3 linked regions of the Oryzias latipes genome follow. The protein of the gene in region 2 interacts with the protein of the main gene of each other region in a pairwise test. Links are inferred from orthologs where the notes say so. Each region holds a gene or a part of one and is shown on either strand. Other genes may lie near its edges. The genes, in order: cwf19l2, rint1 and c11h1orf109.

The links.
Region 1: the proteins of rint1 (region 2) and cwf19l2 interact in binary tests that used the Homo sapiens proteins (3 or more experiments, as listed by UniProt). The two-hybrid records come from large-scale screens. The link is inferred for Oryzias latipes from reciprocal best matches to the Homo sapiens genes RINT1 and CWF19L2.
Region 3: the proteins of rint1 (region 2) and c11h1orf109 interact in binary tests that used the Homo sapiens proteins (3 or more experiments, as listed by UniProt). The two-hybrid records come from large-scale screens. The link is inferred for Oryzias latipes from reciprocal best matches to the Homo sapiens genes RINT1 and AIRIM.

What each region holds. Positions count from the first base shown.
Region 1 is NC_019871.2:20,782,545-20,786,751, reverse strand, and holds the start of cwf19l2 (CWF19-like protein 2), read right to left. Parts: upstream 2,817-4,207; 5' UTR 2,778-2,816; coding exon 2,685-2,777; intron 1,839-2,684; coding exon 1,728-1,838; intron 712-1,727; coding exon 586-711; intron 1-585. Other genes in the region: alkbh8 (alkylated DNA repair protein alkB homolog 8), read right to left, coding at 3,976-4,207.
Region 2 is NC_019881.2:11,302,617-11,306,073, reverse strand, and holds the end of rint1 (RAD50-interacting protein 1), read right to left. Parts: intron 2,629-3,457; coding exon 2,510-2,628; intron 880-2,509; coding exon 660-879; 3' UTR 518-659; downstream 1-517. UniProt on the Homo sapiens protein: Involved in regulation of membrane traffic between the Golgi and the endoplasmic reticulum (ER); the function is proposed to depend on its association in the NRZ complex which is believed to play a role in SNARE assembly at the ER.
Region 3 is NC_019869.2:20,075,688-20,079,895, forward strand, and holds the start of c11h1orf109 (uncharacterized protein C1orf109 homolog), read right to left. Parts: upstream 2,919-4,208; 5' UTR 2,500-2,918; coding exon 2,222-2,499; intron 990-2,221; coding exon 810-989; intron 350-809; coding exon 231-349; intron 158-230; coding exon 117-157; 3' UTR 1-116. Other genes in the region: cdca8 (borealin), read left to right, coding at 3,416-3,506. UniProt on the Homo sapiens protein: Part of the 55LCC heterohexameric ATPase complex which is chromatin-associated and promotes replisome proteostasis to maintain replication fork progression and genome stability.

The sequences.
Region 1 (4,207 bases), on a different chromosome or scaffold from region 2:
AGAAATAATGACGGACATTCTTAAATATCCCCGAACCAAGTACCAGTTGGAGCTACTGATGCTTGAAATATTCATGTTTTCTTTGTATGATTCTGACAAGCGCGTAAATACTTGCTCACTTCTTCTGAGTGAAAAGCGACTTTAAGAAGCGTAAAGGTGCGCAGCGCCACCTTGTGTACAGGAGTATTTCTGTTTACATTAAGCGCCATCTAATGTCAGGGAATGAAATTGCATGTTCGCTCGGCTCACCGTCAGCGAAAATCGCCTGGGTGTGAACACAAAAAACGTGGCGAAAAACGCTGGCGAATAACGCCTGGCGAATATTCGTCCCGGTGTGTACGGGCCTTGAGTCATTTCGAGTCACCCAGCCATTTGGCTGTGCTCTGGACGCTGCAGGGGGAGTGAAGAATCCTGGGCGTTCTAGTGTTAAATCGTAACTAAATTCTTCACCTGAACTCAACCCAAAAATATTTTTTCAGTTATAGAAATTATTAAAACATCTTTGTTAAGAAACCACTCAGAAAAACTTGTTGACAGATCATTTGTGTGTTTGTATCTCAGAGTAATGCATGGAAGACGGTCTACCTCTGAATCCACACTTGAAGCATCTCCTGCTTCCGTTTTCCTTTTCTCTTTCTTGTCCTTCTTCTTCTCTTTTTTCTTCTTGGATTTCTTCTCCTTTTTCTTCTTTTTGCTCTTCAAAGATCCATCCTGGTAAATGTTTGAATTTAGTTCTTTAAATGGAACCTCAGTTTGTTTAAAAAATATATTTGAATTGAAATAAATACAATTAGCAGGAAAAGAGTGAAGCTGCCAAAATTCTGCATAAGCAAATTTTGAAGCCACTTCTGCAAACATGAAGATTTACCAGCAAACGTTTAGCTTGAGTACAGGAAAAAAAAAAACAACTACCCAATATGTTGACATAAAAAAACAAATAAGTTTTCATGGTTTAAAAAAGATGAAAACTGGTTTGCTGTGAAGCAGGTGGTTTTAAATTCTAAAATGATAAATAAAACTTTATTTCTCCGACAATGGCAAACTCAAAGCAGCATGTAAGGAAAAAAAGATGAAAATTAGATTAGGTAAATATAAAAATAAGGCATAAATACTTTCTTAAGAAATGTGCCACCATTGGCATGTTTCTTTAACAACCTATAGCTCTAGAAAATGATTAAACATGATTCACGTCCAACTGCAGTCATCTTTTGATCCATTTTCAAAGCATTCCCAGTGGTATTTTAATAATAATTATGCTCTTTTAGGCAAAAATTTATAAAATCTGTGTTGTTTTCTAGGACAGTTTCTGCAGGGTGGCAGGAGTTCATTAGAAATTCACCTCGGAGTTGTGGGTTGGACTGTTGAAGTGCGCTCATTACCCATGAACCCTTTGTTTACACTCCCTCCAGCTAGCTCACAGCCCCTCACAACCCCAATCTAACATTACCGGTGCAACAAAACTGGCGAGCAGTCGTCCAGTTTTAAGACAGATTTCAGCTCAGACTGTCTGCTCCTGATTCACAACAATATGAATACAGAAATACTCAGAAATGCATTTTTAATCTCAATTTTCTTGATATATTTTATTCAACATGAGAAAAATGCAACAAAAACATGTTAAAAACAACATAAATACTATACTCATTGGAGTGGGTCTTTAAATGATGTATTTCTGTCATTGTGCTGCTTATTAAATGTCTTTCTGAAGTGAAACAGATACAACTTACGTCTCCTAACTGCTCCAGTCTCTGGTTGACTTCAGGAAGTATCCAGGTGTCCTCTCCTCTCTGCCTCTTCAGCTCCTTTCTCCTCTCCTCCTTCTCATATTGTTGCTTAGCCTTAAAAAAAATAACATTTATTATAATATCTACAGCATACCAGTATTTGTGGTTTTACAGAAATGTACTCACACATTATGTTAAATTATGCTGAAGTGTCTAGAAATAAATGGTAACACTAAACAAAGATTTGAACAAAATCTAGACTTCACATACTATTTTGGGATTATAAGTATAAATGTGAGCTGGAAAATTGATTACGATTATATATTATATTCAGATTATAAAAACAGCACAGAAAGTAAAGAGATTTGGCTAAATATGTTTTGCTGTATATCGGTTGAAGATAAATGTATAGATTGAGTTTTCCTCAGTTCTGGGCTCCACTCGGTTGTTGTCAGTTTCCTGGCGCTTGCGCAGAACAGATAAGAGTCTACAACACATTTATGTGCATTTAAAGGGAACAGCTGTAAGTGCTGCGTAAATAGCTATGTTCATGTTTGAATACAGCTATTAAGATGTTCTTGTTTTCTATCTGTGGACAGTGAATAACTACAATCTGGACAAAATGTAAACACGAAAAAGACAGGCTGCCGCCGTCTGCTGTGCTATATCGGTCACTGACTTTCACCACTTTCAGTGTTTGTGTCATATTTCCCTGCAAGCGTTCAGGGAGCATGCAGCAATGGTCCAAACAGGAATAATCTGAAAAATGTCCCGACAAGCGCTTGCTTAAAACTTCATCACGACAGCAAACCTTCTCAAAACGTCACATAGTCCCGGTTGACTTGATCGTTGATGGTACCATCCTTAGCATGTCGGTTAGCAGGTCAATCAATGTAAACAAAAACAAACGGCGGCGCGGAAATACTTCACATCTGCGTTCTAAAGAGTCCTAGTTCGTACCTTTTGTATCGCCTCTTGTCGCGCCTGTCGTTTCTTTTCTTTCGCTTCTTCGATGTTGCTGGAACTCTCAAAACTGACTCCGTACGCCGCCATAACTACGTCGTACACGGGTCTAGCCAACTGTCGTAAAACATCGCTGTTTACGACAGTTGTTTTGTGGTTCTTGTAGTTCCATTAACCCTAACCCTTAATGCCTAATTTTCCAAAGAGCTAAATAAGATGATTATGATAAATATAAGGCCCACTATCATTATTTTGTTCTATAGTTTTCAAGCATTACATGTGCAAATTAGCGGCTTCAGTGTCCAATGCAGACCTCTCCCATCATCTGTTGTCACCGTTGTCAGTTCCTGGAGTCCAAACCAAAACGGAGAAGCTGCATTCAGCTTCTATGCTCCACAGATCTTCTGGAACAGACTTCAGGAAAGCCTTAGATCTGCTAAAACACTCAGTTTTTTTAAACCCATGTTAAAGGCCCACCTGTTCTCAACAGCATTTAATTAATTTAACTTCAAAAGTTTACATCAGCACCGTTACTCTAAGCTTATTTTAATTTCCGTTCTTTTTAACTTTCTTTAATTTTTATTTTAATAATCACCCCATTAATATCTCCAGTAAATGTTTCCTTTAATGTTTTATGTAAGGCACTTTGAACTACCTTTGTACATAAAATGTGCGAAACAAACTTGCTTTGAAAAAATAAAGTTTGATTGATTTGCCTTAATGTTGGAAATAAAACAAAAAATCTGTGCTGGCTGCTCTCAATTTAAAGTCCCTGATAATTTCAAAGCACAAACTGAACTTAAAAGGAGACCAAAAATCACTTAGATGTGTTTCTTTTTCATTTATTGAATGATTTTAAATCCAAGTTGAAAACTCCCTTTTTCCCTCTGTCTTTTAGCTCAGTATGAGTTGGTGATTTTATTGATGTTTCTTACTTTTTTATTATGTTGTTTATTTTAGATTGTTGTTTTTTTTTAATCTTTCATTGTTAAGTGTTTTAGTCAGCCTCTGCTGGGTTTTTTTTTAAAGCGCATTATAAATAAACTTGACTTGACTTGAATTTTTAAAGATAAAAGAAAAATAAAATGATTTTTAAAATATGAAATACCAACAAGCAAAAACGAACAAAAGAGTCACAAATATCAAAGCCCTGTAAAAGACAGTTTCTCAAAAATCTACATTTATTAATTTCTCTTAAAATCTCAACAAGAACATCTTTTCATTTTGTCTCACTGTTCTGTTTTTTGTTCTGCCAAGTTTTTATTCGCACAGACATATCTTTCTGCATTCATTCCTTCTGCAACACAACACACCAGTTGCCCTGGTCATGGTAACTGCTCTTCACTTTGACTCCAGACACCTGAGCACACAGATGCTCCAGCTCCCCCTGCTGGAAAACATGGTAATAGCGATGAAAAACTGGAACTGTGCTACTCTCCAGTTTCAAAGCAGAAGCTGAAGCCTGAGGGAATGCTGGACTCAGCTTAGCATCTGCACGCTGGGAGGAGTTTGAGTCCGAC
Region 2 (3,457 bases):
GACTGATCTACAGCGGCGAACGCCCCGCAAAACCACAGAACTGCTGACAGGCTCTCAACTGACGGTCATTCAACACAAGAGCTTTTTCTGTCATTGGGGTTCTGGTGAGTTTGTCTGACTCTACTCGCTACATCAGCTGATCCCACCACGGCAGCCACTCCTCATAGGAAGCTGTTAAAGAACAATGGTGCTGAAGGGGGGGTGGGGTTCTGACGAGGAAAGCGTTTGTGGAGCAAATCCATAACTGTAATTTCATTGTGACAAGCCTCTTATGTAAATTGATATTAAAGGATTCTGATTCTAAACTGTGCTGAAGTGGTGCGGGGAAGCTGTGGATGCAGATCAGGAATAAGCAGAGCGTCCTCTCGGTTCACTCCAGTCTAAGCCCCGCCTCCTTTAAAGCTGTGCTTTCCATCAGTAATCACCGTCCTGTCAGCTGTCAAACTCAGCCCTCAACACGTCTGAGCCCCCAACTTTTTTAATGAACAGAAAAAGAATAAACAGAACCCAAACAAAAATCGGTCAAAGCCAGAGTTTATTATTGTCGTATTCATCTATAAATATCTGTAATCATTGTATTACTTAAAGAATACATATTAAAGTGTCATAATAGGAAGTCATGACATGAGGTTAGTGAAGCATGTCTGTGCTCCTCAGAGTTACTGTCCAGGCCAGGACGCTCGGAGGTTGAGCAGGATAAGCACGTCTGAGGGGGCTAAGCAGTAAACGCCCATCTCGTTGAGGACAGACTCAGGGGGCGGATCTGCCGCTCTGTCACGCTCGTTGTCTCTGGTTTCCTGCTGCGACTCTTTGAGGACCGCCCGGAGCAGAGCCGCCGAGCCCACGTTCAGACACAGGACAATGACGGCCTCCTTCATGCTGCAACGACAGGACAGACACAAAGCTGACCATCCGTCAACAAACAAGCCTGACCACCGGTCAGCAGATTAACTTGACCACCACTGAACAGGTTAACTGGATCAAAGGCCAAAAAAAAACAAGGGATCCATTTACTTTAAGAAGCTATTGTCCTCACTGGTGGATACTGGTTGTTACGAAACATGGGCAAACCAGTCCGGGGCGCAGGTGACCCACACAAAATACTAAAGCTGTAGACCGTTTGGTGAGCCCGTAGAGTGAAAATGTTCATGGACTTTTTTTTACTACAGGCATGCTGCGGTTGACAGATCGTAGTAAACATGTAAACAACACGTAAGGGTAGATATGGGTGAAGTAGGTGAAACGCAGGCGTGTCGTACATTTATTTTTTTAACCCCCCAAAACCTTGCGCACTGCAAAAGGAGCCCATAAGTGCTGTTCCAGTGTGCTTCTCATGTGCCCGTTACGCAATCCTCGCGTGCAGCCTGACTGTTCCAATTTAAGATATTAGACAATCAAAGGGTAGTTTGTGTGGGCGTCCTACGAGTATTTCGTATTACATGCACACCCTCTGCATGCAGCATCTGTCAGTTAGGAGCCTTTGCACGCACCTTCCTAATGACTGGAGTGTGACGGCATCACTCGTACGTCATACGTGCGTGTATCTTCCCTTAGCCTTACGTATACTTCATCATACACTCACCAAACACACGACAATGGTACATTCCATTTTTATGATGCCCCTTCATGCGGCCGCACAAGCCTGAAGGGAACTGCAAGACCCACCCCGCGACCCTCCTGTCTAAGACCCCCTATGGGCTCTGACAACCTAAAAGCCCACAGCATCCTTATGGCTTTAGGCCAAAAGTAGCTTTACAGTTTTTAAGTAATTGTATTACTTTGTTAATTTCACATCACTTGTTATGCCAAAATTCATAACTAAGCATTTGAGTTTTTGAAAGATACCGACAAAAGAATTCACGCTTTAAATTGGGAATAAAATCAGAACCTGACGGATGGAAAAGAAGTGGTAACTCCCACTCTATGCCTGAATTCCTTCACTACTCACAAACTACTAAGCCTAAACAGTGCGGGACATCCAGTGACCTGGATTTTAAGGCAATGCGGACTCCATGCTCACGTTTTTTTTGTGGCAAATATGACGTCATCGATTTCACGAAGTTTTTCATTACAAATTTATGAATCCACTGTGTTCCAATGATGAAAACGTTGATGGTTTATTAATATAACATTATTTTCACGCAAATTGTTCAAAAGCAATGGATGTTCTATATTTGCAGATCTAGTGAGCACTGATGAACACTGTTTTTTTGCAGACTTCTGGGAGATTTGGGCACTTGATTTGGGAATTGTAGGTTTGGACAGCACTGAAAAATGGCGAACGCATTATATGCTGCACTGTGTAGTGAGGAGTGAAGGAATTTATATATATATAATTTATACATTATTTCTAGTTTAAAAAAAAAAAGCCATCACTATTTCCTGTCCTTACACTCGAACTACTATTATAAAAGCAATAACCTTCTCATTTGTTGGTTTACAGTCATAGTGTTCCTGTTGGTTCAGATCAAGTGAATACAAGCAGCATTGGAGGCCCAGCGGCACTCACTGTTTGAAGAAGTTTTCCGGCCTCTTGCAGTAATGACCAAAGAGAGGAAAGAGGTTTCTGTTCATGTCGAAGTGCAGCTGAGCGGCCCCTCCCTCACTAAAGTGATTGGACAGGACCACCTGACACAGAGAGAGAAAGCACATCATCGGTCTTTAGGCCATATCACACAGTGTCACGTATGAAATGTCTGTCTTTTGTGATTCCTGCGGGATGTACGTCATTCATAAGTGTGTTTGTCATCCGTCACTGTGCGTAGATGTCCATGGAGGGTTTCGGCTGACTGGTCTTAACGTGAATTCAGCTTTGAGCTGTTTCGAATTATTGGTCGGTTGAGAACTATGCAGTTTATACTTATTTTATGTACTTTCTACACAATTAATGAATACATTTTATGCAAGTGTGACTTTCTACGTCCATTCTTCGTATGTTTAACGGACCTTTCACGCATGTAACACCAATGTAAAATCTTTGTATTATGTATACGATGCACATATCACATTAAAATTAATGTGATATGTGCATTAATGCATGAATCACTAATGGATTGCATTCAAAGAGCACAATAATCACACACGGTTCATGTTCTACGTTGATTTTTGGGTTCTTTGCGTGGTTCCTTCATACTTCTTCCGTGGGTTATTTGTGAAACATCTGTAAAAAAAAATTCACGTACAGACCACAACTGTTCTCCCTTTTCCACGTATATTCACGTATGACCAATTTTCATCCGTGCAATACGCTCAAAATGTACGTAGCGGCCAACAGTGTTTCCAGACAAAAGGCTCATGCAGGTCAGTGTTTCATTTAATGTTGAAGAAGCATTCTGCTTTTGATAGGGTTAAAAAAAAACATGGCTTCATAAACCTATGCTTATTATCTAGGTTATTTTATGCCCCCCCCCCCCTTGGATTAAATGCTCATTTCACAGCCCATATGTCTTTAGTAAAC
Region 3 (4,208 bases), on a different chromosome or scaffold from region 2:
GACAATAAAGACGATTTGATGAAGTGTCTTCAAATCCCTCGTCTTCCTCTCCGTGTCTGCATCATTGACTTCTGTCCTGCTCAGAAGGTTCTGGTTCCAGTTCTGCTCCTCCGTCTTCACTCCAGCTCCAGGAAAAATGACACTCTGCAAAGTGTTTCTGCAGGAGACAAGAGTCCCACATCTCAGAGTTGGCGGAGCTCGCGTTTCAAGCTTCGGACAGTTAATGTTACCTGTGATTCGCTGCTCGCCGTCAGGAGACTCCAGGGACTTCCACCTCTCAGGAAGGGATTCCAGCAGAGCGAGGTCGTTGGGTCTGAGCGTTTGCAGCAGAACTTTCCTCTGCAGGAATCTGAACATGAGCTCAGGAGAGCAGAAGACAGAAACAAAAAAACAGACTGCTGGCTCTACCATTCCCCGCCCTCGCCGCCAACTTTTGTTTTGCCCTGGAGGGCATGATCATAATCATAATTTTAAAGTTTTCTATGGATATCCTCCGTTTTGGCTTTGATTGAAGGATTTGAAATATATTTTTTGAACCCCATTAGAGATCTTTGCCCCATTCATTTTTGTGATGGTTTCTCCCACTGGAATGTTTATTTTATTTTATTTGTTAGTTTGTTTGTTTGTGTGTGTAGGGGGTGGACTATGTCAAGCCTTCCTATGCAGCGGGTACCGGGTCTGTGCAGATCTTGGTAAATATTTTAGCATTTGCCGTTTCGCTCTCAGAAAAAAAGAATTGCAAAAACAATCCGGTCCTTGCCGTCCATGAATGCTGCGGACCGTACCAACAGCACAGACAGGAAGGATACTGCTGCCTGTAGTGGCGCTCGGCGTCCTGAAGCCACTCCAGCATGTCTGCGACTGACGGGGTGACGGCGGAGCGCTCTGTGACGGCCTGCAGGTCCAAACTGGTGGCGTTCTGCTCATACAGCTGCATGACGGACCTCACCTGGTTACTGATGGCGTCTCTGGCAGACTGCAGACGACACCTGAGAAGGAAAGGAGTCTGTCTTAGTCCTCGGACAAGGAAGCCCTTGAAGACTGATAAAAATCATGTTTTTATCTGTTTTGACAAGTTTTTGCGGCCTTTTTCTGATGATCGAGGACATACATAAAGAAAAGTATGCTTAAAATTGGCAATCTGAAAATGTCTTTATTCAAATTGCTGTGAATGAGGAGCAGAAGAAAAAACCATGATGTCCCTGAATGCATCAGCACTGTCTCTGCTATGGACACACCTGGCATATGACACGGTATAACGGGGTGGGATTATATACGTTCGCTTCCTTCCACTCCCTTTCAAGCAATATTTATTAATATGTCTAAATATCCTAAGTTTGATTCGTCATTGTATGAATGTATAACTGATGATTGTATTGTTGTTGTGTATTGTTCTTATTTGATTGGTTGAAATAAACCATTTAAAAAAAAAAAGAAAAAAAAAGACACGCGTTCCAGAACATGTTAACCCATAGTGTTCACACAGTGCTAGTGGGTTGGGGCTTCTCCTTCTTCTACAATTGACCATGACTTGTCTTCCACCTACAGTTGGCAGAGTCTTGGTGCGAAATGTCAAAGTGGTGCAAATCTCTTGTATATCTGACTCCAGGCTTTTTCTTTTCGCATCTCTAGTCCAATATATGAAAGATTTAGTGTCATATATTCCGACTGGAATCAAATCAAAATCATTAATTTGTCCTCCATGGTCAACTTTCAAACGGTTGGTGTTTCCGTAAATTTAAAGGGGTGCCATCCATGCGTCACTACCAAATCTGAGTCCCTAATTGGTCAAAGTTCGACCTGGTTTAACTTTTAAGGTACATTTAATAGATGCACTTTTTGTACATACAGAGCTCAGAAATTATCGTAGAAACTTCAAGAGTTTAAACCAAAATGCAAATTTACATTTTTTTTATTGGTGGTTTCTTGAACGCGCATCGCTGAGGGCGGTGTGAACGTAGCTTAATGATGGTTCTAGTTTCTGGTAAAGGTCTTATGTGGCTTATTTTGATTTGGGGTTTTATCTTTAATATTTTCTTTAAACGGAAATTGTAATATATGGTTTGGTGCTAGTATCTGTACTACAGGAGCTCTTATTTTGAAACAAACTTTTTTTATGCTGTCACAAAAAACAGAGCTAATAGTCTTTTCAACGTCACAGGAGTCCCTGTGATGACGTCATCCGAGAGGCGCGTGTGTGTGGAGTTGTCGCGTGTCTCACATCTTCTCGTTGAGTTTCTCCAGCACCGTGTCCGCGGCCTCCTGCAGTTTGAAGCGCAGCCGCTCCTCCAGCTTCGGGAAGGTTCCGAGCGGCGTGCTGGAGACCCGCACGTTAGAGAGAGCTCTCATCTGCTCCGCTAGGTTCCCCAGAGACCCCAGGAGAGGGCTGCACTCCGCTAGCTCGCTCCCCCACAGCCGCTGGTTGCTCTCCAGCGCGGCGAAGCTGTTCCTGAACGCCTGGTGGAGGGCGCTGAGCGTCGGTCGGGAGATGTCAGACATGCCCTCGGCCTCCGCTCTGGCTTGGATGGGACTGTAAATATAGTTCTGACCAAGTCTGAAAGCCTCAGCAAAATTCTGCACTACTTTTCTGCGCAGAACCAGAAAGCGCTTCCGGTGTCAAGTAGTGACATATGCTGCCTTTACTGATCCTTGGAGATACGGTGCCCCATAAATACAGTAGCTCCTCAAAAAAGGCACTTGATTTCGGAAAATTGTATTTTTTCGTGCTCTCCTTTTTAAATCTACATACACACATACATACATTTTATTGATATATTTTCCCACTGGTTTTGTTAATGCTTCTGGACTTTTTGAGAACTTTTTTTTATATTTATAATCACAGGCATGTCTGTAGGAAGTTGCTATTTATCTTGGTTAAATTGGGTAAATTGTAATTGTGAGTTAAAAAAACTTTTTACTTGGTGACTATTTTTAGTATTTCCTGCCCTTCAGCTGTTTTACAAAAATGCTTTTTTTGATTCTTACTGAAACGCTTTCCATCAGGGGACGATTCATTTTTTCCCGAGTTGTCTTCGAACGCAGCATTGAACATTCGCAGTGCCGAACCCTGATGACGGGGCTCAATCCACGTCCTGATTGGCTGGATTTGTGTCTTGGCTCCGCCTCGCGCGGACATTTGAAAACGACTTCGCGAAGAAGGCAGGCCAGAGGGAAACCCACACAACTGTTACCTTTGTAAGAAAACCCGCTTCAAACTCAGACGAATTGAATCTAAAAACATTTATATCATAAGTGAGACCAAAGAATGAAAACGGGAGTAAATTAATCTGCCGGATAAACTCCTGCCGATTCCAAAGCTAACAACATAGCTGCTAACGTCCTCGGCGGCTTATTTTTTTCCATCTCGAAAACAACGTTTCACAGTTTTCTCCTGTTTGTGAAGTTCTGAGCGGACATGGCGCCCAGGAAAAGGACCACGAAGCAGCGAAAGAACAACCAGAAAATTGAAAAACTGGAAGTTTTTTTGGAGGATTTCGACAGCGAAGGTAAACGACAATGCTAGTTCGGCTTAAGTAAAGGCTCGGCCTACAGTTTGTTGTCTGAAATAAAGTGTTCTGAAACCCAACAAACCGAACCTGTTCAACCTTTGTCAGTAACAGCTGAAAGAGCTGACCAGGTTGGGGATATATATATATATATATATATATATATATATATATATATATATATATATATATATATATATATATATATATATATATATATATGCCAGCTCTTACCAGCTAATTCAGAATTGACAAAGCCTCTTGGATAAGGGGTGAAACATCTTCTAACTTTAAAAACTAAGTCTAGATGACAGCCCCTAAACCTACTACTATGATGGAATCAACCTGGATGAATGAGTCTTCAAGACAATCCAAAGAAAACAAAAAATAACTTCATTTAGCTGTTATAATTTGTTATTATCATTTGGAAATTGCAGGTTTTTTTTCATGAAAGACCCTACAAGAGTTCCTCTCCTTATATGTGCAATTTCATGCACTAATAAAAAAATGTGCTCAAAAACTAGTTAGAATTTGTTTGTAAATTTACTGATCGCTTATTTCCTGTTTGTGTTTTTTGTTTTGTTGCTAAAAAGATAATTATACGTAAAAAAGGAAGTTCTGCTCCTTCGAAATGATGCAATAAACCGGATCATAAAGAAGTGGATGGAAAAAGTGCTATAAAAAAACAATCTAAATTTTGAT